Lepisosteus oculatus: one gene and its partners. The protein of the gene in region 2 purifies or fractionates together with the protein of the main gene of each other region. This does not show direct contact. Links are inferred from orthologs where the notes say so. Each region holds a gene or a part of one and is shown on either strand. Other genes may lie near its edges. The genes, in order: dnajb11, ptpro and sdf2l1.

Region 1 (7,445 bases), on a different chromosome or scaffold from region 2:
TAAAGAGATAGGAATGCGTTTTCATTTTATGTATTTTTTCTACAAATGTACAGCAGCTCTTCTGAAATAACGCTTGCTATAGCTGGGAAAAGAACGCTTTTAAGATTTCCTGATGTAGTTTCATATTAAATTACTATGTAATGAGCAGATTCGCAGATTTCCGGTCCCGGCGTCTCAGACAGCCGCGTGGTTAAAACAGCTGGCTAATTCAACTTTCACCCCTTCACCCCTCAACCAATCACATGCGGCCACACATGCTTGTCCACCAATCAGGACGGGCCTCCGTTTCCAACAACAAAGGAACTCTCAGCGGCTCACGAGAGGCAGCGTGCTCTCTGAGCCCCGAGCTCTTCCACATCGCGGCAGGTGCAATTAATAACGTCATCAAAACACACCTAATTAATGCCGGTACGGAGCTGCCGTGCCCCAGTCAAGCGCGATTCTGGAAAAAGCCATCGACGTTTTGAATTTTACGTTGCTGCAACCGAAACACGTTGCTAAAGACAACTGAGACCGAACGAGAGAAGATTCAGGAAACAGGTCTAACAGAAGGGACGCTATTACATTACACATACGTTTTCTTCGGAAGACAATTTAATTAGGTCTGTCTTGCCAAAAAAGGCCCAGGAGCTAATAAACAACAACACCTGCTTGAGTTTCAGGCTCAGGGCTTGCTGGGTATCATGACCCAGATTTTCCTTTTAATGTTACTGTGGGTTGTACAAAAGCATAGTCCACGACACAAGGTGCTATAATATTACACAACTGTAGCCCAGATGCCAGTAAGGCGATTGTCTTTCTCTCCGGGGTCTATACTGACACACACACCCCCACCCACCCACCCCCGTTCTCTGAGGGAGAGAGACAGCAGGAAGGAAACAGCTGAGCCAATCAGAACAGTCCAGGTGTGACTACAGCCTCTGGATCACTGACAGGCCCCACAAACACCACAGACCTGCTGGGCAATCACCGACCTTTGTCTAACCCGTTGAGCCAGTTGACATTTCCAGTGACAACCTGAACCGAAACACTCTATAGCACAGGAGACAAGGCAGTGAAAGAAGAGATCGAGTGATATAATCGAAATCACTGGACGGGGCCCAGTGCAAGTGTAGGGCAGGAAGGATTCCATCACCCAGCCAGAGAGGAGGGTTACAGTAACGCCGCAGAAGTCCCCAGGGATATCAGAGAGCCACCTTCTCTAAACTCCTTCAAATCCAGACTCAAAGCCACCTTCTTCAGAAACACCTTTCCTTGACTGGTTCTGTTCTTTACCCCCTGATCCTACTGTATTCAGTACCCCCATCTACTGTCTCCTCTCATTGTGTGATCTCATTGTGCAAATCTTGTGTAATTTTTATTTCATTGTTGTTGTTCTGTAAAGCTCTTTGAGAAGCCACCTTTAAAGGAGCTATATAAAATAAAGTTTATTATAAGTTGATATACTAGCATTCATATCATTGACTTCTTTAGTCACAGCACGTACTGCTACAGCAGGGTGTGGTACTGGGCAGCAATCCTGCTGTGAATATTTCAGCAAGAGCAGCACAGACTGATTTCTGCCTGAGTGCAGGTGAGAAGCCAGCTGAGGCTATTAAACACCTGCTCACAGCTGGGGGTGGGAGCTGCACTTGTACTGTGCTGGGATGTCCTTGTTGTTTGTGTACTGTTTGTCGTATTGCTCAAGGAAATGATGCCAACACCTTACAAAGCAACACACGCACTCCTGGTACCGGTGATATCCATGAGCTACCAGGCCCTGGCGTTACAGGGGCAGCCCTGCTGGCCTCCTGCGGCTCACTCGTCGGGAATGTTAGGGACGCTTCTAGGGACGTGTCAAAATCAAACCAGGTCATCCCCTTGTGCCCCAGCAGCAGCCTCCTGCAGGTCCAGCTCACTGGTTTCCACTGCGCTTGGGGGCACCGAGGAGCAGCAGGACTCCGCGCTCCAGTCGGGCCCGGCTCACCCACCTCGTACGCCGCGCCCAGGTCCTGGAACTTGTCCTGCGCCTGGGGGTCGTCCGGGTTCCGGTCCGGGTGCAGCTGCAGGGCCAGTTTCCTGTACGCCTTCTTAATGTCCTTGATGGACGCCGACCGGGACACCCCGAGAATCTTGTAGAAATCCCGCCTGGAACCGAGGAACAGACAGCGCCACGGAGAGGGCTGCTTACACGCAAGCTGGAAACAGACAGCTCCATTTCCCCCCTGTACCCCTCGGGGCTGTTGGACGAGCACTGTGGGGTCCAGTGTGAAGAGACTCTGAGAGCGCGCACAGGAAAGTCTTTATTACAGTCAGAAGGGACACTCCAGGATTCCCACAGTATCCCTCCCAGATGCAGGGGACGGACATGAAACACGCAATGGGGCTGGTGTTCCCTCCAGTCAGCCGAAAGGAAACCGAACCCACGAGCGAATGAACCCCGAACGAGAGGGAACCCCGAGTCGGTTGCATTCATGGAAACGTCTGCGTACAGTTTTGCAACCCACTTAAAATATATATATTTGAAAAAAAAACTGACGAGATAGTTTTAAAGAAACGGGCTGATGCATCCCAGTATGTAACAGGGCACGGACCGGTGTGTTAGGTAAGGAGGTGCGTACATCGGACCCTGCGCCAGCCCTTTCAAAGCGTGTATAGCGACCAGGCAACACCAGTGCAACATACACCAGCTCCCCTACGGGGACACGCCGCCAGCAAGCCTGTTAAAAAGTGCAACAGCCTCAAAACCCGCAATTCACAAGCGGCGGCTTGCCATCGCCGCCCAGCCCGGCGGAAGGGTCCGAGCCGCGGCAGACCAATCACAGCGCAACATGTGTACCAGCCGGTATGAGCGCCGCTGAAAGCGCCTCGGTTGACTCACCCTGCCAGCACAGCCGCCGCGAAATACAGCAGCAGACAGCAGGCGCTGCTCAGACTCAGTACCCTGGAAGCCATATGGATGTTTAGTTTTTTTTTTTATGTAGTTTTTGTATTTGTCCACTTCAGCCCGCTCTCCGGCTCTCTCCCCCTCTGCGCTCCGGCCCTCCTGTCACTCTGCCTCTCTCCCGCAGGCTCGGCAGCGGCGCTTCCGCCCGGAAGGCCCGCCCCCGCGAAGGCCCCGCCCCTCCCCGGCCTGCCTGCAGGGGGCGCGCTGGGCTTGGGCAGCTGAGCACGCCGCCCTCTTGAGAAAGGGCGCCTTACTTTCAAATCAGTTGCTGAGCAGAAGCTATTCGTTTTTGTTTGTGTGTTATGGGGTGGGGGATATAAAAGCTGTCACCGGGTTTAATTTTCTGAAAATACCTGTTACGGTTATAGTCTTTTGGTAAAAAAAAAAAAACACAAGCAAATCTGACTCCCATTTCACAACACTTTAAATCGGTCCGAGTTTTGTGAGCGGAACGCTCTGCCTCAGCTTCTGTGGATAAAATCCCGTACTGAGAGCTTAGAAATAACATTTTAAACATAACGATTTATTTCCCCGCAAGCGTGCTGTTGGAAGACTCGACCTTGCGGTGTGTGTTGTCTGACATTAAAGCAGTCGGTGTCGGAATCAGGCCGGATGGTTAATTAATGCGCTGGGAATTTTTTAGGAAGCAGGACTGGAGCCAGCGCCTCCTGCTCGTGCCCGCGCTCCAGCTGACGACGTGCGCGCTCACGAGGCCGAGGAAGCGGCGGCGCCAAAAGCAAGAGAGAGGCGGCCGGCTGTTTTAAGCAGGACAGAGACAGAAACCCCTTTCGTATTAACCTGTGGGGGCACAGGGGTCGCCAGATAAGTGTACTAAGACTTACAGAGGAGCCCCCAGCCCCCAGCCCTCAGCGGGACGGCGGGGCCGGTCCGCGGAAGGTGAAGCTTGCGTGTCTGTTGTGTTGCGGCGAGGGAGCGCCAGGTATGTCGGTCGGGGAGACGGGGCCCTCGCTGGAGCTGTTGCCATGGGGACGCGGAGGGCTTTCCGCCGGAGCCGGCTGGGTGTTGGCGAAGGCCACAGAGCCGACACCTGGGGCTTTCCTCGGTCGTGCACGTTTTGTTTCCCTCCGTCAAGAATACGGGAAAATAGCCAAATCGTCCACTGCGTACGACGCAAGTTTACACTTGAAACATTGAGTGGCGAGTGTTTTTTTCCCTTTAACGTTCATGTAGTCCAGGTGGCATGGGTTAGAAACGGTCTTTTTGACTCCTTGGTGTTGCAGCGTCTTTCTCTGGTGGTTTATCCGGTGGTTTCTGCCTGCCAGCCTTTCTGGAGAGTCTTGGCCAAGTCATCTTTCTCCCCTCATCTGCGTTTCTCCTACGTGTCTGCAGTTAGACTGCTTGTCATCGGTAGGGGCTACTGTGTGACTCCTGTGTCCTACAGCTATTGCTGTTTCCGTCTCTTCTCACTCCATCGGCACCTTCTCAGCCATGTTAGCATTGGGCAGTGCCAGTCAGACTGGTCTGTATTTGTCCCTGCCTGTCTCTCTCTCCCAGGGTGTCAGTGTGTGTTTTGACCTCTCTGTCCCTGCCTCTCTCTCTCTCCCATGGTGTCAGTGTGTGTGTTTTAACCCGTCTCTCGCAGGGTGATGGAGCAGTGTAGTGTCAGTATGTGTTTTAACCCCTCTGTTCCTGCCTCTCTCTCTCTCTCCCATGGTGTCAGTGTGTGTTTTAACCTGTCTCTCTCAGGGTGACGGAGCAGTGCAGTGTCAGTGTGTGTTTTAACCCCTCTGTCCCTGCCTCTCTCTCCAAGGGTGTCAGTGTGTGTTTTAACCCCTCTGTCCCTGCCTCTCTCTCCCATGGTGTCAGTGTGTGTTTTGACCTGTCTGTCCCTGCCTCTCTCTCCCATGGTGTCAGTGTGTGTTTTAACCCCTCTGTCTCTGCCGCTCTCTCTCAGGGTGACGGAGCAGTGCAGTGTCAGTATGTGTTTTAACCCCTCTGTCCCTGCCTCTCTCTCCCAGGGTGTCAGTGTGTGTTTTAACCCCTCTGTTCCTGCCTCTCTCTCTCTCTCAGGGTGACGGAGCAGTGCAGTGTCAGTGTGTGTTTTAACCCCTCTGTCCCTGCCTCTCTCTCCCAGGGTGTCAGTGTGTGTTTTAACCCCTCTGTTCCTGCCTCTCTCTCTCTCTCAGGGTGACGGAGCAGTGCAGTGTCAGTATGTGTTTTAACCCCTCTGTCCCTGCCTCTCTCTCCCAGGGTGTCAGTGTGTGTTTTGACCTCTCTGTCCCTGCCTCTCTCTCTCCCAGGGTGTCAGTGTGTGTTTTGACCTCTCTGTCCCTGCCTCTCTCTCTCCCAGGGTGTCAGTGTGTGTTTTGACCTCTCTGTCCCTGCCTCTCTCTCTCCCAGGGTGTCAGTGTGTGTTTTGACCTCTCTGTCCCTGCCTCTCTCTCTCCCAGGGTGTCAGTGTGTGTTTTGACCTCTCTGTCCCTGCCTCTCTCTCCCAGTGTGTCAGTGTGTGTTTTGACCTCTCTGTCCCTGCCTCTCTCTCCCAGGGTGTCAGTGTGTGTTTTAACCCCTCTGTCCCTGCCTCTCTCTCTCCCTCAGGGTGATGGAGCAGCGCAGCGTCAGTGTGTGGCCACGCTTGGAGCCCTTCCTCCTGGGCGTGCTGCCAGCTGCCCCCCCCGCCAAGTTCAGCATGCACTACCTCCGCAAGATGGCGGCCTACGTGCGAGCGCGGACGCGGGAGGGCTGCTTCCCGCGGCTGCACTGGCCGCTCTGGCGCCACATCGCCTGCGGGAAGCTGCAGCTGCCCGAAGACACCGCCTGGCTTTACTTCGAGACCTGCGACCTGCTGGCACCGCGCCCCCCGGAGGAGCGGCTGGAGTGGGCGGAGGCCGTGTCGCAGTGCGGCTCGGTGGAGGAGCTGGACAAGCTGCGGTACAAGGTGGGGAGAGGAGCCTGAAGCGCAGGGAGCACGGGGTTAGGCGAGGGGGAGTGGTGAGAGGCGAAAGGCAGTGGTGTCAGGGGGCTTCAAGGATATCTGCCCCCATTCCTTTCTGGGCATGATGAGATGGCAGGGATCAGATGTTTTACGGCGTCTTAACCACCCCTTTCATCTCTTCCGCCCCCCTACTCGTCCCCACTCTCTCTGTGTCCCCCTCCCAGCTCTCCGTGGACACTCTGCAGTTCCTGCTGTTTCTCTACATCCAGCAGCTGAACCGCGTCTCTCTGCGCACGTCCCTGATCGGCGAGGAGTGGCCCAGCCCCCGGTCCCGCTCCCGCTCGCCCTCCCCGGACCGCGACGCCAAAACCGCCGCGCAGAACAAGGTACTCGGCCGCCGCACCCCGGCAAGCGCCGCGGCTCGCAGGCTGCCGGCCTCCTCACAGACTGGTGCTTCGGCAGAGGCCCTAGTAATTGCAGACCAATCGGTCTTACTCGTTTTGCATGTAAGGTTGTGGCAAACACAAATTAGAACTAGACCGTTGGGATCATTTCAATAGCAGGGTGATTCAAAGGGATAACCAGCAGGGATGTAGAAAAGGTTGGCCTTGCTAGCTGACGTGTTAGAACTTGTTTGAACTAGCAAGAGCAGTAGGGCATACAGAACGAGCATGTCATGTGGAGTACTTAGATTTTCAGAAAGCCTTTGATCAAGTACCTTAGTCTAATTTGAAAATCACAGGCAGTTCTCGAACCAGAGACATTGATTTCCTTGAATTTCTTGTAAAAGGCACAGTTCAAGGAGATGTATGTCTCTTCTGTGAGAACTGGTTAATGAGTGCTTAGAGTACAGAAAGAAGTGAAGACTCAAATTGAGGTGTTATAATTAGTGGAGTACCACAGGGCTATGTATTAGGACCACAGGGCTTTCCTTCCTATTTTATATCTAGAACCAATCGGACTCTGATATAGTTAGGAAACTAGGCAATTTTTGAAAATAATACCACAAGGGAGAGTTTAACAAGTACTAGGAGCTGCACATGAAATAAAAAAAAAAGTTAGTTACAATTCAAGAGTTGACAAACACCTGACAGGTGTAGACCAGTGTGGAGTGTGACATGTAAGTAGCAAAAAGTAACTAAAAATAAAGAAGGGGTTCTAAGCTCTCGTCTGTTGGAAATAATGTATGTTGGGGTGCTCTTGAAACCAAGGGGTGAGTGTGGGGGAAAAAAAGTAAACCAACAAGCAGATCAGGTGCAGGTACAGATTAGTATTGCTGATTAAGTGCCATCTGGAACAAAAACCAGCAGAAAACTGGCACTCCAGGACCAGGACTGAGTCCCTGATTTAGACAACGTGGGAAACCAACAAGAAAGGCATGTAAGGATCTAAAGTTAGAAGCACAGCTTTTATATTGAGGGATGTTACGTTCTTATTGTACAGTGCACTAGTAAGACCAAAATGTGTACAGTTCCATTGAGCATGATGGGGAAAAAAGATGTTCTCTTGACTTCACCTGTCTCTCTGTGCTCATCTCCCTGCCGGACTGCAGAACTGGGATGACCAGGCCCACCTGAGCTTCATCCAGACCCACCTGTCAGACCTGCTGGAGCTGGTTCTTGA
Region 2 (8,038 bases):
TAAATATTTGATTTCTATACCTCATGAACAAAGAGTGGCTATTTGTTCAAATGAATGAAGCTCAGCTTATGATGTGTTATTATACTAGTTGTACAATTGTTCACTTTTTCCTATGATTCACAAAAACATAATGCTTACAAACCACGAAAATACACATACTGTATCTGCACTTTTAAATGAAATGTGGTGAAACTGATGGAAAACCAACCATCAGTTCACAGTTTTCGTAGTCCTAGCACACTTGACGGTCCAGTCCACTTGAAGTTGATGTGAGCTATTGTCTGGTCTCCATCGCCCATAGTACAGCAAATCTGTAAAGCCTTTAAGAACCCTTCTCATTAATTTAGTATTGAAGCAGATTGAAAAGAAAGAATCAGTAAACTGATTGTGCAGCTTTCAGATAATAAAATAATTTTAGCGTCAACTGCTTGATGAAGCATAAAAAAAATCATGTTCTTGTTTAATTATGCTTATTTGGCAAAGGTTAAAACCACAATAATAGCCAGTTAACCTTTTTATTCAAATATTTGTATAGCATTATATTTCACTCTGAAATGGGTAAGTCCCGCATATGTGCTAAGTTTTATCCTAGATTCAATCACTATTATGATATTTCACTACAATGATTAGAAGCAAGGAAGATAAGTGTGGAATATGAGATCCCATTCTGAGCAATGTAGGGAGATGGGTGAGGTGGTGTCTTCAAAGACAGGATGAGTCAGAAGAAACAAGAAAAGCCAACAAGTACTGTACTGTACCTGGAAACATACTGTATATGACCCAAAATTTCATTCAAGCTTTATTTTACCGACACAAACGTAAATACACTGTTGGTTAAAAATTATAAGATCAAATGGAATTCTTACTGCAATACAAACAAGAAAGGAAGAGCCAGCATAAACTTGAAGTACAGTATTCCCTGCAAGAGCACACACATAGGCACAGAAACACAGGGAAAGTTTAGAGATGGCAACTAACCTAATCGGAACCTGTTTGCAAGGTGGAAGGCAATGCAAAAGAAATACTCCACACAGAACACAGGATCTATGAGCCATGAAGTAGCAGCACTCACTACCATACTACCATGGCAAGCACATTTAAGAACACTTAATATTTCTAATAGACAATGATACAAAGTGTACTTTGGTCCCTCTAGTCGAAATCTCCTCTACTTAGTAAGTACAGCTGCACACTATAAAGAGACTACTAGTCTGAGTCCCAAGTGCAAATCCAAACCCATTACACCATTCAGAACTGATACCCCAAAGGTCTGGCCCACTTAGGTAGGCTACCTCTATACTCTTCATGTAACCACCTCCAAGTTTACAGTGCAGCCATGATAGAATCTCTTAATTGCATTACTTGTCATACAGTATATTAATTTAAGAGCTGAAAATCTTTGTTTCTTTGACACACTGAGATTTCTGTGCCGGTAAGTAATCATTATGCTAATTTTTTTTATATTAGTCTTGTTTTCCCCAGGTATCCCCTGAACATTTAGCTTTAAGTTGGTATCAGTTTTTCATTACTAGATAAAATGTAATGAATTCCAGTGTAAAAAACATTAGTGCTTCTAGGAATTTCACAAACCTAATGGAAACAAAACCTTATAACCTTATATCTACATGACACATATAGTAAGTTCACAAACGGAATTTCTAGTATTCCTACTATAGTATGCATTTTTTAATGGTTGAAGGTTATTTTAACAGTACAATGTACTGTATATAATTATATCTTTAAAGAAAGAGTAAGAACATGCATTATAATATTTTCTGTATTGTATTAAATAATGTTCTAGTCAGGAAACTAAAAAAATATTAACTACAGCACAGGTCAGGCTTTCATTAAAAATATTATGTTTAAAACCATCAGGCCTAATTCAATTAACTGATTCAGAAGGATAACAACGTGGTATTAGTACAGACATTATTATTGATATTTTATCCTATAATAATACTTTATACTCGTCATTCATTCATTTTTATTAACATAAACTTAAGTTTCTGTTCAAACAAATTATTTTCATCTCACCCCTTTTTTTCAATACAGACCTGTTAATACATTTTATGTAAGGGGCTACTAGATTTTAATACTACTCAACTCATACAGTACATGTTACAGGTGGAACGATACCGTCATTAAGAAGGCAAGACAGCTCAGAGTTTGCACTTAACTTCATTAAAGAACTCACAAAAGAGCAAATGCTACAACATGCACTTTTTCTTCAAGTTAAACGTGTTAAAACTGTGCCGCTTCAGAATAAAACATGCGTTTTCATCAAAGGCCAAATGATGAGAATGGGTGAAATCACAATGCAGGATAATAGCGAACAGTCTCAACGGAATGACCCCATTTTGCCTGAAGAAGCATTTTGCAGAAACGCGACAACATTTGTCAGACCATGCTTCTCTTTTAACATGGAGCAATACTGCTAAAACAAGATAATATGTTTTAATAATTGGATTAAAGCTTTAGATCCATCAGATACATTAAAATAGCACACAGCTTCAACACAAGTTGTACAAAAATACCAAAAGAAACGTGCAACGGTATAATCATGGCAGTCCCGTCAAGCGCTGCTTGTAGATTTTAAAGGCGAAATAAGCTGGAATTTCCTACCTGGATGCTGAAAATGAGGCATATGATACAAGGCAGCATGAAAATGGAGATCCTGTTAGCCACTTGGCAAAACATTGAAAAGGTAACTATAAATCTAAGTAATGATAAATCGGCTTCTCGTCGAAACAATGGCGAATTTTCTGCAGCATCAGATCGCTGGCATTGCTTCCCTTTCACCTAACCTAAGGCGCACAGTGATGTTCTCTCCCTAAATTTCACCTTTGTTAGAGCGCCGCTTAAAGCTGTTTTCAAAACACCAAAGAAGTTCTGATCTCAGTAGACAGTAAAATCGCCATCAGTTAAGAAGAATACTTTACGTCGGAGATGCAAAGCTACAATCCCTACACGGCTTTATGAGATGAACAGAGAAACCAGCATCTCCCATCACATTCCTGGTGAGACTGACACACGCAGGGGGCACATTCGGACTCTCCTCCCCTCGACGCCCCGCCCAGATCTCTCACCAAATGGACTGAGAAGTGAAGCATATTAAAATAGAATTCACTTTCTCATGCTGAAGGGGGTCCTTGGCAGCACGACGTGTTTCAATTTTACCAAAATGTAGAGGCTTGTTACATTCATGTATTGCATAAATAACATTTTTATATTTGAATCAGAAATCTGAGTGCACTGAGCTCAAACCATAAAAACGATACCGGCCAAGCAGATTTCGATGCCAAGAAACAAGCTGATTTATGAAACTGAAAATACTATGATGACTGCAGTAGCTCTATGAAACAATAAAAGAACAGCAGAAACAGGGTGTCTTATCTTATTCTCTGTTCTCCCGGGATTAAGACTTGATTTCATCGAGTCTTCTGTACCAAGTTAAAACGTTGGTACTGTATGTTCATCCTGAAAACTTCGGTTTATACATTAGTTTGATATACTGTATTTCCTTAATATAATTGTTAAATTTTTAACACCCAATGTACTCCTCCACCTTATTTAATTAATTACTGAAACAGTTACAAGCACTGTTACTTAGCGAGATACATTCACAAAAACTCAAGTACAGTATGTCCAAAACTCAGCTAACGTTCTTGGCCTCATTCTGGTGAACATAAAACCGCTCTTTTGAGACAGCTGGAAATGTTCACTTAGTATAGACACTGCTGCTGACTTTTAATGCCATGAAGCCCCCCTCCAATTTCTTACCTGACAAATCATGACCCTCAGCCACACTCTATGGTCCTCAGACACTAGTTTATTGTGTTCTCAACAGAACGATGGGTGAGAGAGCGTTCTCCTATAAACGCACATGTAGGTTACGAAGTACTCTTCCCTGAGATCAGGGATTTGAGTCTCTTAAATTCTGCTTCAGAACCTGCCTGCTTAAACCAGCACTCCTACAGAGTTTTGTACAGTATGTTGTACAGTATACAACTCCTTATACAGTATGAGTAATAATAGAATCTAGAATCTTATAAAATGATAAAATCTTACATGGTTCTTTTGTTTAGATTTTTCATTTCCATCTTTTTATTACACAGTTGTTTGATTTTGTGTATGAAAGGAAATACTGTACATTCATTCAATGTATTATTATGATAAATTGGAAAAATATATATTATTACTGTATAAAGACCCTTCCCAAGGTAAGAAACACTCTTTTTTAGAAATGTTATTGACTAAAGAATCTTTTTTTATTTGAGGGGCACCATGTAGATACAGTATACTGTACATTTTATTTTTGATAATATGAAATAATACAGTACATAGTGTTGAAGGGAAACATAAGTGAATACCAGTATATTATTAACTAGTACAGCAGTGATAGATTATCAGGTGGTAGATTTCTGCTGTAGCTGGGAAAAAAGGCTCTGATTTTTGTTAAGATTACGTTTCAGATCCTCTTGCTGATAAAAACTTTCAACCAAGCTGGGAAATACAGACCCACTCCCGTGTGCAAGGTTAGGAGTGTAAGGTTATCGGGGAGGTCAAGGTTTTCGTTTTAAATGGGTAAAATACTAACATTTTCTATCACATTTCTCAAACATAGTCAGACAAAAGGCAAAATAGCAAATGTCAGCACTACATTATGGATTTAGTAGTGTGCAGAACCAAAATTGGCTTATTAACAGCATCAGTGCTGGAAGGAAGGTTTTTTAAAATGGTGACAGGAATATTGTACCACTCCTCTATCTGAGGAGTGCAGAGAATCTTAGCTATTTTTCAGTTCCAGTTCATTCCAAAGCTGTTGTATGTGAATAAGATGCATTTAAGGAAGTCATTTAATATTTCTCATGAACTGTTTTTTTTTTCTTTCAACCACTGTGTTAACTACAGTACTAGTTGAAATACTCCAGCCAAACTCACACTTTTTACTTTGAATTGTACTGCATGTAATGTACTGTATATAATTAAAGGTGATCAGTTCAAGACAGATTCATGCCAATATTGCAATGGCCCAAGGAATTGTAGCTTTTTCTTTAAATCTTTGTTTAAAACTTGTTATTGCTTAACTTTTGAAAGCACCACAATGTCATTATTTGTTATATTGTTTTTGCTAGAATTATTTGTTTATTAAACATTTGAGGTACCATGTAAAATATGAACACAAGGAAAGTTTCAAACAGGAAATGGTTTAAATCAGAGTTAGTTATCTAGTGAACTTGAACTTGAACTTTATTGCCATATGTAACCGGTACATGTATGGGTACAATGGAATTCTTACTTACAGAAAGTCTCTCGACTGGTAAAACAAGTGTAAAAACACAAAGTGCAGACAGTGCATCAAGACAATATACAAACAAACAGTAGACAATGTACAAGTAAACAAGTAAGCAATATGAATGTAAACAATGCAGACGTGTAAACAATGACTGGAGATGTGCAATAAATAAGAACTCATAATGAGGTAGATGGTATAGATGTGGTCCAAGGGGCATGTAGGGCCTAGTGGCCCTAGGATCTTGAACAGCCATTTCTTGAAGGATCCCAGGTATATTAATTGATTTCAACAACAAAGTTCAGTCCAGTCATCCACAATGGTACTGTATGTCAAGGGGCTTCTCCTATTTCCGGTCCTGAATGCACTTTCTTTACCTTTCCAGTTGTGTTTTTGAATACATGCTCTAGTTGCTAAGAAGGAAGAAGTCAATTGGGTTGACTTTGTTAGTATTTCTCAGGATTTTAACTACTAAAGTGATGTTCTCACAGGGGTTGTGATATTGCAGTAGAGGGAACTGATTAGAGGCTCGTGTTCTCACTATGCCTCCCATTTCAGACAACCATGGGGGTGAATCATACAGTACATGTACAGTATGTTCAAAGGGATTAGGGATTGGGACTATAGTCAGATAGTAACTAACTGAGAGACAAGCAGTAATGCTCTGTATATATATATCTTTCAATTCTTGCTCTCTGTAGAAATCTCCAACTTTTGTTTTTCTTAAAAGTCAGTTTCCACAGACAAACAGATTGAGTGCAAGTTCTCTTGTGACTTGATTAGTTCTCGTGTGTGTGGACTTTCCCTCAAGCACAAAATGCAACACCTGAAGACATAATGGCTTCATTTATTCAATTGTCAAAATTATAATTTCACTTCCGCAAGAATATCCCAAATCATGGATATTGATACAGTAACTTATTCCCATAACTGCAATTCCAAGGCACAAGGGAAATTCAAAAACTAACTTGATATTTTTTTGGGCAACTACAGTAGATCTTGTCTCACTTAACACAGATACAACCTCATTTTACATGTCTCTTTATCCCACATTTGTATTCAAGTTTTACTGGCAATACTTAAAAATTCTGTTTTGAAATCAGATTTCACAGGTCTTTCAGTAGAACATGAAATTCTGTTATTCCTGTAGTGACTGTGCTAGTTTAAGAGTGGTAGTACATTAGACCATTCCCTGGTAGTGAATTTTTAGTCAGAAAACCCAAGGCTTTAAGAAAGGCCTTATGAGTAGAATAAGTATTGTAATTGTCATTTGCATTTTCTTTGAGTTTCTCTTATTTTCATTTTCACGGACATCATTTTATTTGACCTCATTTGGTATGTCCTGCTCTTGAAGACATACAAGCTGTCAAATTCAAAGTCATTTAAAAAAATAGCAAGTTTAATTTGTACTGTCAAGAAAGATAGGAAGAATCATACCATGGGATCCAGCTATGTTACAGCTTAATAAGGACTCACAACTTCAACTAAAGAGTGTCAATGGAAAATCTGGCTTGCTGGTTTGACTGCAGCACAAAAACCTATAGCACAGTACTGACTCCCTCCTCACAGCCTACTGTTACAGCAGTGGTTGTCATACTTAGGCACATAGTGATGCCGGAACTTTCTTCCATCTGAGTAAATAAGGCTAAAACTGCTGCCTCTTAAGAAAAACAAGATATGGGTATACAAATGTACAGTATACAGTATACTGGGAAGGCTCCACGGCCGAAACGTTGTGTTCTCTTTCTTCTTTTCAGCATGGAATAAACCTATTACTTGTTCCTTTGCAGCCTACGCATGCTGACGCAGCTACCCACCTGAACTACTACAGTATACAGTATGTGTCCTTGACCGTGTGCTAAGACAATAATAAAAATGAACAATTTACGTTTATTGCTGGAACCTGCTAAAGGCATTACAAGAAAAACATCTGGAATTATGAGAAAATAGCAATGAGTCAATATCTTTCTCTACTTTTTTCAATGCTTGCATATGCAAAAGAGGTAGTCCAGAGTTGTAAAAAACTGAAGGGTTTTTCATCCAAATCCACACATTTCTAGAAGGCTTCACAATCAAAACTTTTTTGCTTTGAGGAATGCAATTTGAGATATGGAATCCCAATAATTGACATAGAATTTGCAACAGATAGTTTAACAATATGTTCAATAACACAGCACAAAACACACAAATTCTTTTTCTCTGCTGTTGCAGATTTGCTAAAATACATATCTATTAATCATGTCTGAAGGTGGTGCTAAAATTTCTTTTTGACAGAAACATCATTCTGTTTCTGAAATTTAATTCTTGTATGTATATGTTTATAAGCTAAGTTCTTGAACTTGCAAACAGAATCAAGTCCACCACAAATTGACAAATCTCTTGTTTTGCCATTCTTTGTGTAGTGATGTGATTGTTTAATTTACTGGAAGAATTAGAAATTGGAACTGTAGATTGCAAGAGTGCTTTATGGCTACTAAGAATCAATCAGAAAGCTAGTTGCCACACAGAGATGTGCAATATACAGTACCAATAATTAATATAATACTAATACATGCATAACAAACCAACACGAGTAATAGTAAATATGTGAATCAATCACCATAATATGTGTTATGGTCTACCTTGCAAATTAAACTTGTCTCATAAAGAACTAAACTTCATCAAACACGTTTAATGAATAATACACAATACATGTGACACTTGAGATTATAATGTCAACATGGAAATTTTACTCATCTAAAAAAC
Region 3 (7,771 bases), on a different chromosome or scaffold from region 2:
CGACCAGCAGTCAGTCTTGCAGGCTTCAATTGATGGCTTATTTAAATTCTGGGAAACATCACTCACATCTGCTATGGCTATATCAAATGATTTAAGCAGTTTTTGCTCAGATTGATTATCTTTCAGTTTTTAAAGCTAGACTACTGCAGATCATGAATATGTACAGTTCAACTCCCTACGGCAGTACTGTTTCAGACTCCGCACTTCTGACTAGGTATAGGGAAATGTTCTCTGAGAACAATCCAGTCTTTTTAAAATGACTTATATCAGAGTCGTGCTACTCATAATTATACAGAAGCACATGTAAATCAGCATTTCCCAGAATCCAAGCCAAGAATCCAGCAAAATTCCTCTGTCAGAAGGACTTTTTACATTACAGCTCAAATATCCATTCAATTTTAATGGCTGCTTTTAGCTAGAACTTCCCCCCTGCGTCAGGAGTCTCGGGACACAGAATACTCTAGAGTGAACATCTGTAAAGCACATCTGCCCGCTGTGAGGACGCTCCAGCACAGGATGAGGCTGACAAGGTGACAGCAGTTCAGGTAGGGAGCTGCGTCAGCATGCCTAGGCTGCGGAGGAACAGGTGAAGGTTTATTCCAAGCTCAAAGGTAAAGAGACCAAACGTTTCGGCTGTGGAGCCTTTTCCAGGGGTCTCAAGGTGCCTGGAAGAACGCTCTGCAGCCGAAACGCTGCGTCTCCCCTCTTCCTTTAACGCGCAGTAAACCGGTACCCGTTCCCCGACCAGGCAGTCCCGGGCGCGAGGCCGTACCTGGTTTGCGGACAGCGGCGAGACGAAGTGATGCGTGTGGAGGTTGCGGCCCGTGTTCATGTGAGTGAGGCGGATGGGCTGGCCACACTTGACGGGCGCCCCTCGCTGGCAGGGGGCGTTGGGCTTGCCCCGGATGCGCCAGTAGCTGTTGGCGTCGTCCGAGTTTTCAACTCCAGTCACCGACTGCTGACCGCTACCTGCCGGAAACACACCGCCAGCGTCACGTCGCAGCTCAGGAGGTTACGATGGTGGGGTCCAGGCTTGGGAGCACAGAGCAACAGGGAGCAGAAACTTGACTCTTCTTCCACTCTCTTTTAAGAGCATACGGGCTACGAGAGAGAACGCCATTCGGCCCGTCTACAGCTCACTTGGAAGTGAGAAGCCAATTAATAATAATAATAATAATAATAATAATAATAATAATAATAATAATAATAATTGCTTACACTTATATAGCGCTTTTCTGGACACTCCCCTCAAAGCGCTTTACAGGTAATGGGGTCTCCCCTCCACCACCACCAGTGTGCAGCCCCACCTGGATGATGGGACGGCAGCCATAGTGCGCCAGAACGCTCCCCACACACCAGCTCTCAGTGGGGAGGAGAGCAGAGTGATGAAGCCAATTCATAGAGGGGGATTATTAGGAGGCCATGATTGGCAAGTGCCAATGGGAAATTTGACCAGGACCCCGGGGTTATACCCCTACTCTTTTCGAGAACCGCCCTGGGATTTTTAATGACCACAGAGAGTCAGGACCTCGGTTTTACGTCTCATCCGAAGGACGGCGCCTGTTTACAGTATAGTGTCCCCGTCACTATACTGGGGCATGAGGACCCACACAGACCGCAGGGTGAGCGCCCCCTGCTGGCCCCACTAACACATCTTCCAGCAGCAACCTTAGTTTTTCCCAGGAGGCTCCCATCCAGGTACTGACCAGGCTCACACCTGCTGAGCTTCAGTGGGCTGCCAGCTGTGAGTTGCAGGGTGATATGGCTGCTGGCCAATTCATCTGAAGCTGTTTCTTGTTTCAGATAAGTGCTAAAACTTTTTTGGGAGCAAAACAGAGAATACAGAAAGCTCACACATTGCAAAAAGCTTTCAGAAAAAAAAGTAACTGCACTGTATAGAAAGAGAGAGAGCAAGGATCTAAAACATAACATAACTCAAATAAAATCTCTAGAATATAGAAATGAACAAAAAAAATCTCCTTTCTCTGCGTCCTTATACTTATTGCTTGGTCTCTTAGTTAACTTGTCTTATTCTTACCCTTTACCATTTGTGACACAGTGTAAATAAAAAAAAAATCTGTTTCAGTCATCAGCACACGCGACCCACCAGATGGGGATGCGAGTGAGGGCGAGGAACAATATTGCGTTTGGCCGCAGACCAGCACAGTCCTGGTCGCGGACTCCACCAGGGCTCCGCTGACACCTGACCCTCATTTACTTAACAGCTCGCTCTCGTTTTCCCTCTTGGGAAGCTGACAGCCTGTCCGATGTGTGCGAACACTCGCCGCATAGGGGAATAAACTAAACCCGTTTCAGAGCGCAGCCGTCCACTTACCGGAAATGACACCTAACAGGTAGCTGGTACACAGGTGCACAGCAACATACATTAATCGGGCGGCTTCTAATTCCCAGAAGAGATTTGCTTGCTATGAAACTATCCGTTATAGAGGTTTTACACGTTCAAACTACTTGACAGTCACAGGAACAATCTATCAAAAGAATGCTACCTACCACAGGCGGTACTAACAGAACCTGGAATGGTTACTATGACAGATTTGTGTTGTTAAGCGTTAGGTGAAGAAACAAGTGAATGCACAGATATAGAAATCCTTGCCTTAATACACGTTAGAGGTGAATTTCACTCAAAAATTGACATTCAGGAACACAAAAGCATTTGGACAGAGCAAACGCAGACTTGCTTCAAAACCGAAAAGGGTTCGCAAACACAGAGCATGGAAACAGTAACTCTACCCACACAAGCAGTCTTACCTGAACCGTATTTGACATCGTGGGAATGCAATCTCACGTTGTGTCTTGTGTTAAGTAATTTTACCAGGGACCCGCAGGTAACGTAACTGAACTCCGACTCACGACCCTCGCATTGCAACAAGATGTAAAGCAGCAGAAAGAGCTTCATAAAGATGTGATCTCGGAAATCCCGGAATAACCTCATCGTTCGAAGTACAAGCGGAATTAATTTCTTTTATTTCTACAAAAGGGACAGGATGTAGAAAAGGCACCAACACGCTTTCAAACCGGCAGACTTCAGCCAATCAGCGCTTGACAAGTCGTGGTGTACGGAAGTCGTGGCTCCCACATGCTGTTTTTCCATTGGTCACTGTGGATCTGGGGGCGGAAATTTTAAACAGATTCTCTTATTCTGATTGGCTCTCCTTTGTTCCTGGTCGCAAGAGCCAATATCGTTCCGAACGTAAGTACATCTGCAGGAATTTAATTGGCTCTTTAGAAAACTTGGCTGCTCGGCTTCACCCAATGAGCTGCCAGAGACTCTGTGCACCAGCTTGGCAGGTCTACCACTTGTAAAGTAATATGTAATTGCGCTCCGCAACAAAAGTTCACTATTTGTAAATTTGAAATGTAGACAGGAATTTCGGGAAGACTATGGAATTGCAGTGCATGAAATTAAACAAGTTTTTTCTTCTTTTACTCGGTCTAAAATTATTTTCTAAAAATCCTAGGAAGAGCGGAAAGATCTTTCACAAATATTAAATATACAACACAGAAAAGCGATTTTTCCGAATTCTATGCATACACTTTTATGAATTGGTCTCGATTACATCACTGTTTTAACTAATCAGGATTAAGGAGACTGTCGGCCACGAGTTAAAGACTTGTATGAAGGTCTATATGGCTTGGATTGGGTGGACTGGAAATCACTGAAACGTACGAAATAGTATAAAGAACAGGAGGCCTTTCAGCCGATTTAATTTGTTCAATTTCTAGTAGACCATTTCACCTGAGGGTTTTTTTCTGGCAGTTTCTCAAACGAATGAAATGTTATCAATAACAGGACTGTGAAGCTTGTTCCAGACTCCCACAGCTCTGTGTGTACAGATATAAAATTAACTTCCTCTTAGTTTCCATTTGTGTTCGGTGATTTGTGTCTTACTGTTAGTTCTGAAGAAGTCCACGAGACTGGAACCATTTCTCCTAGTATTCCTCCCTGTTTAACACTAAAAAGATGACGTTCTTTTAGCTTGACGGGAAGACAGGAGTTCTTGAAGCCCCTGTATGTATCTGATTGCTGCTCTCTTGCCTGATTCAAGAGAAGCAATATATGTTAATGCTTTGGTGACCTAAATTAAAATGTAGAATATTCTAAATGACTTAAATTCCTACTAGTGCACTGTACAATTCTAAAACGAGTACCCCTATTTTAAGTTTGAACGACTAGCTATGTGTCCTAACATTTATTTATGTCATTGTCTAGGGGATGAAAATGATGAGTTAAAATAGATATCTAATGCTTTTTCATAGATAGCCTTTTAAGCTCAGTGTTCCCAAGTTTATGGTCGAGCTACAACACTCTTATTTACACACGCGTGTAACTCTGCACTTTACTGCAAGAAAATGTTTCTGCATTTCTGCATGTGCCTTTGCATTGTGGTCGTGAGTTCTGGGTGTCTTGAATTATACCTAAATCTTTGTGCCGGTCCCTTGCGTTTGGCATCAGGTTTGAACTCGACTAAGTTTGCAAAGGGATACAGTCGAGCTAATCCCACACTGTGGAAAATAAAATAGAAAAAAAAGAAATGTGTTTTAGCAGCAGAGCCTCTTCAGGCGTCTGGGGAGAGAGGGAGAGGGCAGCAACTGGTTAATTGACTAGGATCGGAAGCAAATAAAAGCTTTCGTTTTAAAACAAAACATTGATCTCTCCATACAGGGTATCAATAATTCAGGGATCTTTGCCATTTTCTACATGGTACAAGAGAACGTGATCACCTCTTTGTTTTTTTATTGTGGCTGAAGGGCTGCCGAAACATGGAATAGTCTGGCTGGACAGCGGCCCAAACACTCCTCATCCCTCTGTTTGTGGGAAAGGTGCGCCGTCTGTGGGAGAGATGGGCCTCTCCGCTGTTTCCTTCTCAGCAGGGAGCTGGTGGGAAGAAGAGATGGCCTCTTGCGCTGCCATGGCACTGTCGAGCCCAGGGAGCGTCGCCTCTGGTTCAGCTTGGACAGGGGTCTCGCAGGCCCCGGCGGCAGCAGGGTGCGGGGGCGCCGGGCCCTCAGTCAGGAGGCCCTGGGACCCGAGCTCTGCCTTCCCACCGAGGGTCTTAACTTCCTGCCTGCTCCTTTCAGATGGGGTCAAAAGTATGCCCAGTTTGTGAGACAGCTCCACTCCTTTCTTGGTCCAGTCATTCATGTTCCAATAGGCCTCCTCCAGAATCCGTCTGAGGCTCACCCTGGGGTCATCGCTGGGCTGCTCGGCGGCTCCCCCGCCAGTCTGTGCAAAGAACACAGACCTGTGACTCTGGCCGGCTTGTGTGATCTCCCGCAGGAACGCACGTTGTAGTGTTGACGCCAGAGAACAGGTCTGTCGGAGACCACTGTTATTAGCAATTTAAAAAATATACGTGGGTGAGGTTGTTTTTTTTTCCTACCTTCTTCCATGCGGCGGTATTTTCCGAGATTTCTGCTGCTTTATTTTGTCTTCCTTTGCCTGCCTTCGGGGGAGCGGTTTTGGGGGCGGGTTTCCTGGTTTCTCGCGCGGGGTGCGCCGTGTTTTTCTCACAGCAAGGACACGCCGCCCCTCCCGGAGCGACGTCCTGGGCGTGTGTCGCGGGAGGTCGCTCGGATCTTTCTTTCGGGGTGCGCGTCTTTGTTTTTTTTATCTGAGCCGGCGTCGGCTCCGGGTCGGGGGCAGCTGTCGACACGCTTTCCAGGCCCTTCACCAGCCGGCACAGACGGATCTCCCTGTCCAGCATGTCAGCCACTTCTCCGGACTCGACCTCGTGGTAGCGGTCGCTCCCCCGGTCCGTTTTAAAGACCGGATGCCCATCCGAGTTTGTGGCTTCCACCAGTTTATGAAACAGCAAAGAAACAACTTTTTCCAAAGCGTCCAGAACCCCACGTTGTTCGATGAACCCCTTGACCTCGGCGTGGGGGTGACCAAGCACGGGGGCGGCCATCTCTGAGCGGGACTGGTCACCCTGGATGTTCGGAGACCACGACGGTCTCCTGTAGAGGGTTTTGTCCGCCATCAGACGCTGGCCTTCTTCCACCACGAGGCGTCTGATGAATTTCTCTGCGTCTTCAGAGGCGTTGCGCGCCGAGCACGTCGCGTCTGGTTTTGAATCGGGCGAGGTCTCCTCGCTCTGGTGCCACGGTTCCATTTTTAGCGGGTTCGAGGGCAAAACCCACCGCTACCGCGGATCCAACCCAACCGATGAGCGGCCTTCCTTCAGCCCCATTCAAGACCAGCGCCCTGCCACCATGGACGCCGAACCTCTTGCAATGTGGACATTCTGCCTTCCCCGACACTAGACCTGCGCGGTTGGTCGCCGAATAGAACTCCACGCATTACAAAAACAGATCCATTGTCGCGTCATTGTCGGAAGCGATTGAGATATTCTATCGACATTCTATCAGCTGCTGCTAGGGAGCCGGGCATTTGCAGAACAGCCCCCGCAGGCGTGTTCTTTGGTAGTGCCCGTGCCAGACCGTTCAGGACGTCGCTTGTTAGGTTAGATCGGGGTGGGGGCGGCATCCTGTTCAAGCCTCTCGCTGGAAGACTCAAGCGCGTCCACGAGGGGCACGCTGAAGCCTTCGCCGTGCACACGCACACCGGCCGGGGTCCGTCCAGAGACTCTGATTAACCTGGACACCCGGCTCTTTGGACTGCAAGCGCGGACCGGGACACTCAAGAGAACATGTGAACCAGCAGCGCTAATCTCCACCCCGCCGGTTCAGTAGGTATTTATGAGAATTTAGCGAAAAATACCACGCGTTTTTTTTCTAACCTATTAATCCCGACATTGGCTATCCAGTATTGAAAAGTCTGGATGCAGTGTCCCTTTAGTTCTCAGTAAAATGAGGGAATGTTACATGAAATGTAGTATGAAGGCGTCAGTGTGTGTATTTGGAGAACAATTTACTCAGTTATAGACTGTTTCTCCTCAGTACATCAGTTTGATGATGTTGTACACGCCAGTCTGTCTTAATATCGCAACTCCTGAATCATTCCCTCGGGGAGTCAGAAAAACCGCGTCGTTATGTACGCGCACGTCGGGATGGAAAAGAACTCCAGGCAGCGCGTTTGACGTGTAAGCAGGCGCGTCGCACCTGTGTTTGACCTGAACTAATGACACGTTTCTCTAGTTTCTCTGCCGCATACGGAGCACGAAGACAACAGATGACACACTGACACATAGAGTATAGCTGAAGACGCCCCCAGCCCCGAATTTCTCATCTGGCGCGAGTTGGTAAGACTTGGTTTTCACCTCCAGTTCGATTTCAAAAGTTTTCCGAGGTCAACAAACTGTCTCGAAAAAAAAAACATTTTACATTTTAAATTTTACTTCTCTGAGTGAATTTCGGCTATAAACCTAATATAAAGTCTTAAACTAAAAAAAAAAACCTAAAATATTTAACATATTAACAGTACTGTAACAATGACACCTGTTCATATTTATTTATTTTTTGAGCACTGATATAACAAGTTCATCAGGAGTTACTTCCCGGTACAGTTTTCAGATTAGGAGTGAGAACGCAAAACGTCTTGTAATGAAACGGCTCTTTGTTGCAAAGGCACAGAATGCCTTATACCAATTCAGAACAGCATGGACATTATTTTCGAGGTGATCTGATCTGGCTACGCGATCATTTCTATGGTGTACTACAACACCTACCCAGAGCAATATTGGCACGAAAACTACACTTCCAAAACAAAATCCGTGACAAAGATATTCCCATAGCTCACACTAGAGGGCGCGGTAATCCGGAAAAGCAACCTCGATATTTACAGGAGCTT

The links.
Region 1: the proteins of ptpro (region 2) and dnajb11 purify together in Homo sapiens (affinity purification with mass spectrometry; 3 studies listed by BioGRID and IntAct, with this or other methods). This does not show direct contact. The link is inferred for Lepisosteus oculatus from reciprocal best matches to the Homo sapiens genes PTPRO and DNAJB11.
Region 3: the proteins of ptpro (region 2) and sdf2l1 purify together in Homo sapiens (affinity purification with mass spectrometry; 3 studies listed by BioGRID and IntAct, with this or other methods). This does not show direct contact. The link is inferred for Lepisosteus oculatus from reciprocal best matches to the Homo sapiens genes PTPRO and SDF2L1.

The regions. Positions count from the first base shown.
Region 1 is NC_090707.1:7,356,145-7,363,589, forward strand, and holds the start of dnajb11 (dnaJ homolog subfamily B member 11), read right to left. Parts: upstream 3,079-7,445; 5' UTR 2,935-3,078; coding exon 2,861-2,934; intron 2,128-2,860; coding exon 1,971-2,127; intron 1-1,970. Other genes in the region: tbccd1 (TBCC domain-containing protein 1), read left to right, coding at 5,490-5,825, 6,047-6,208, 7,375-7,445. UniProt on the Homo sapiens protein: As a co-chaperone for HSPA5 it is required for proper folding, trafficking or degradation of proteins.
Region 2 is NC_090702.1:27,118,570-27,126,607, forward strand, and holds the start of ptpro (receptor-type tyrosine-protein phosphatase O), read right to left. Parts: upstream 3,012-8,038; 5' UTR 2,698-3,011; coding exon 2,623-2,697; intron 1-2,622.
Region 3 is NC_090717.1:2,067,589-2,075,359, forward strand, and holds the start of sdf2l1 (stromal cell-derived factor 2-like protein 1), read right to left. Parts: upstream 3,059-7,771; 5' UTR 2,954-3,058; coding exon 2,770-2,953; intron 970-2,769; coding exon 773-969; intron 1-772. Other genes in the region: uncharacterized protein, read right to left, coding at 4,820-5,245, 5,403-6,134.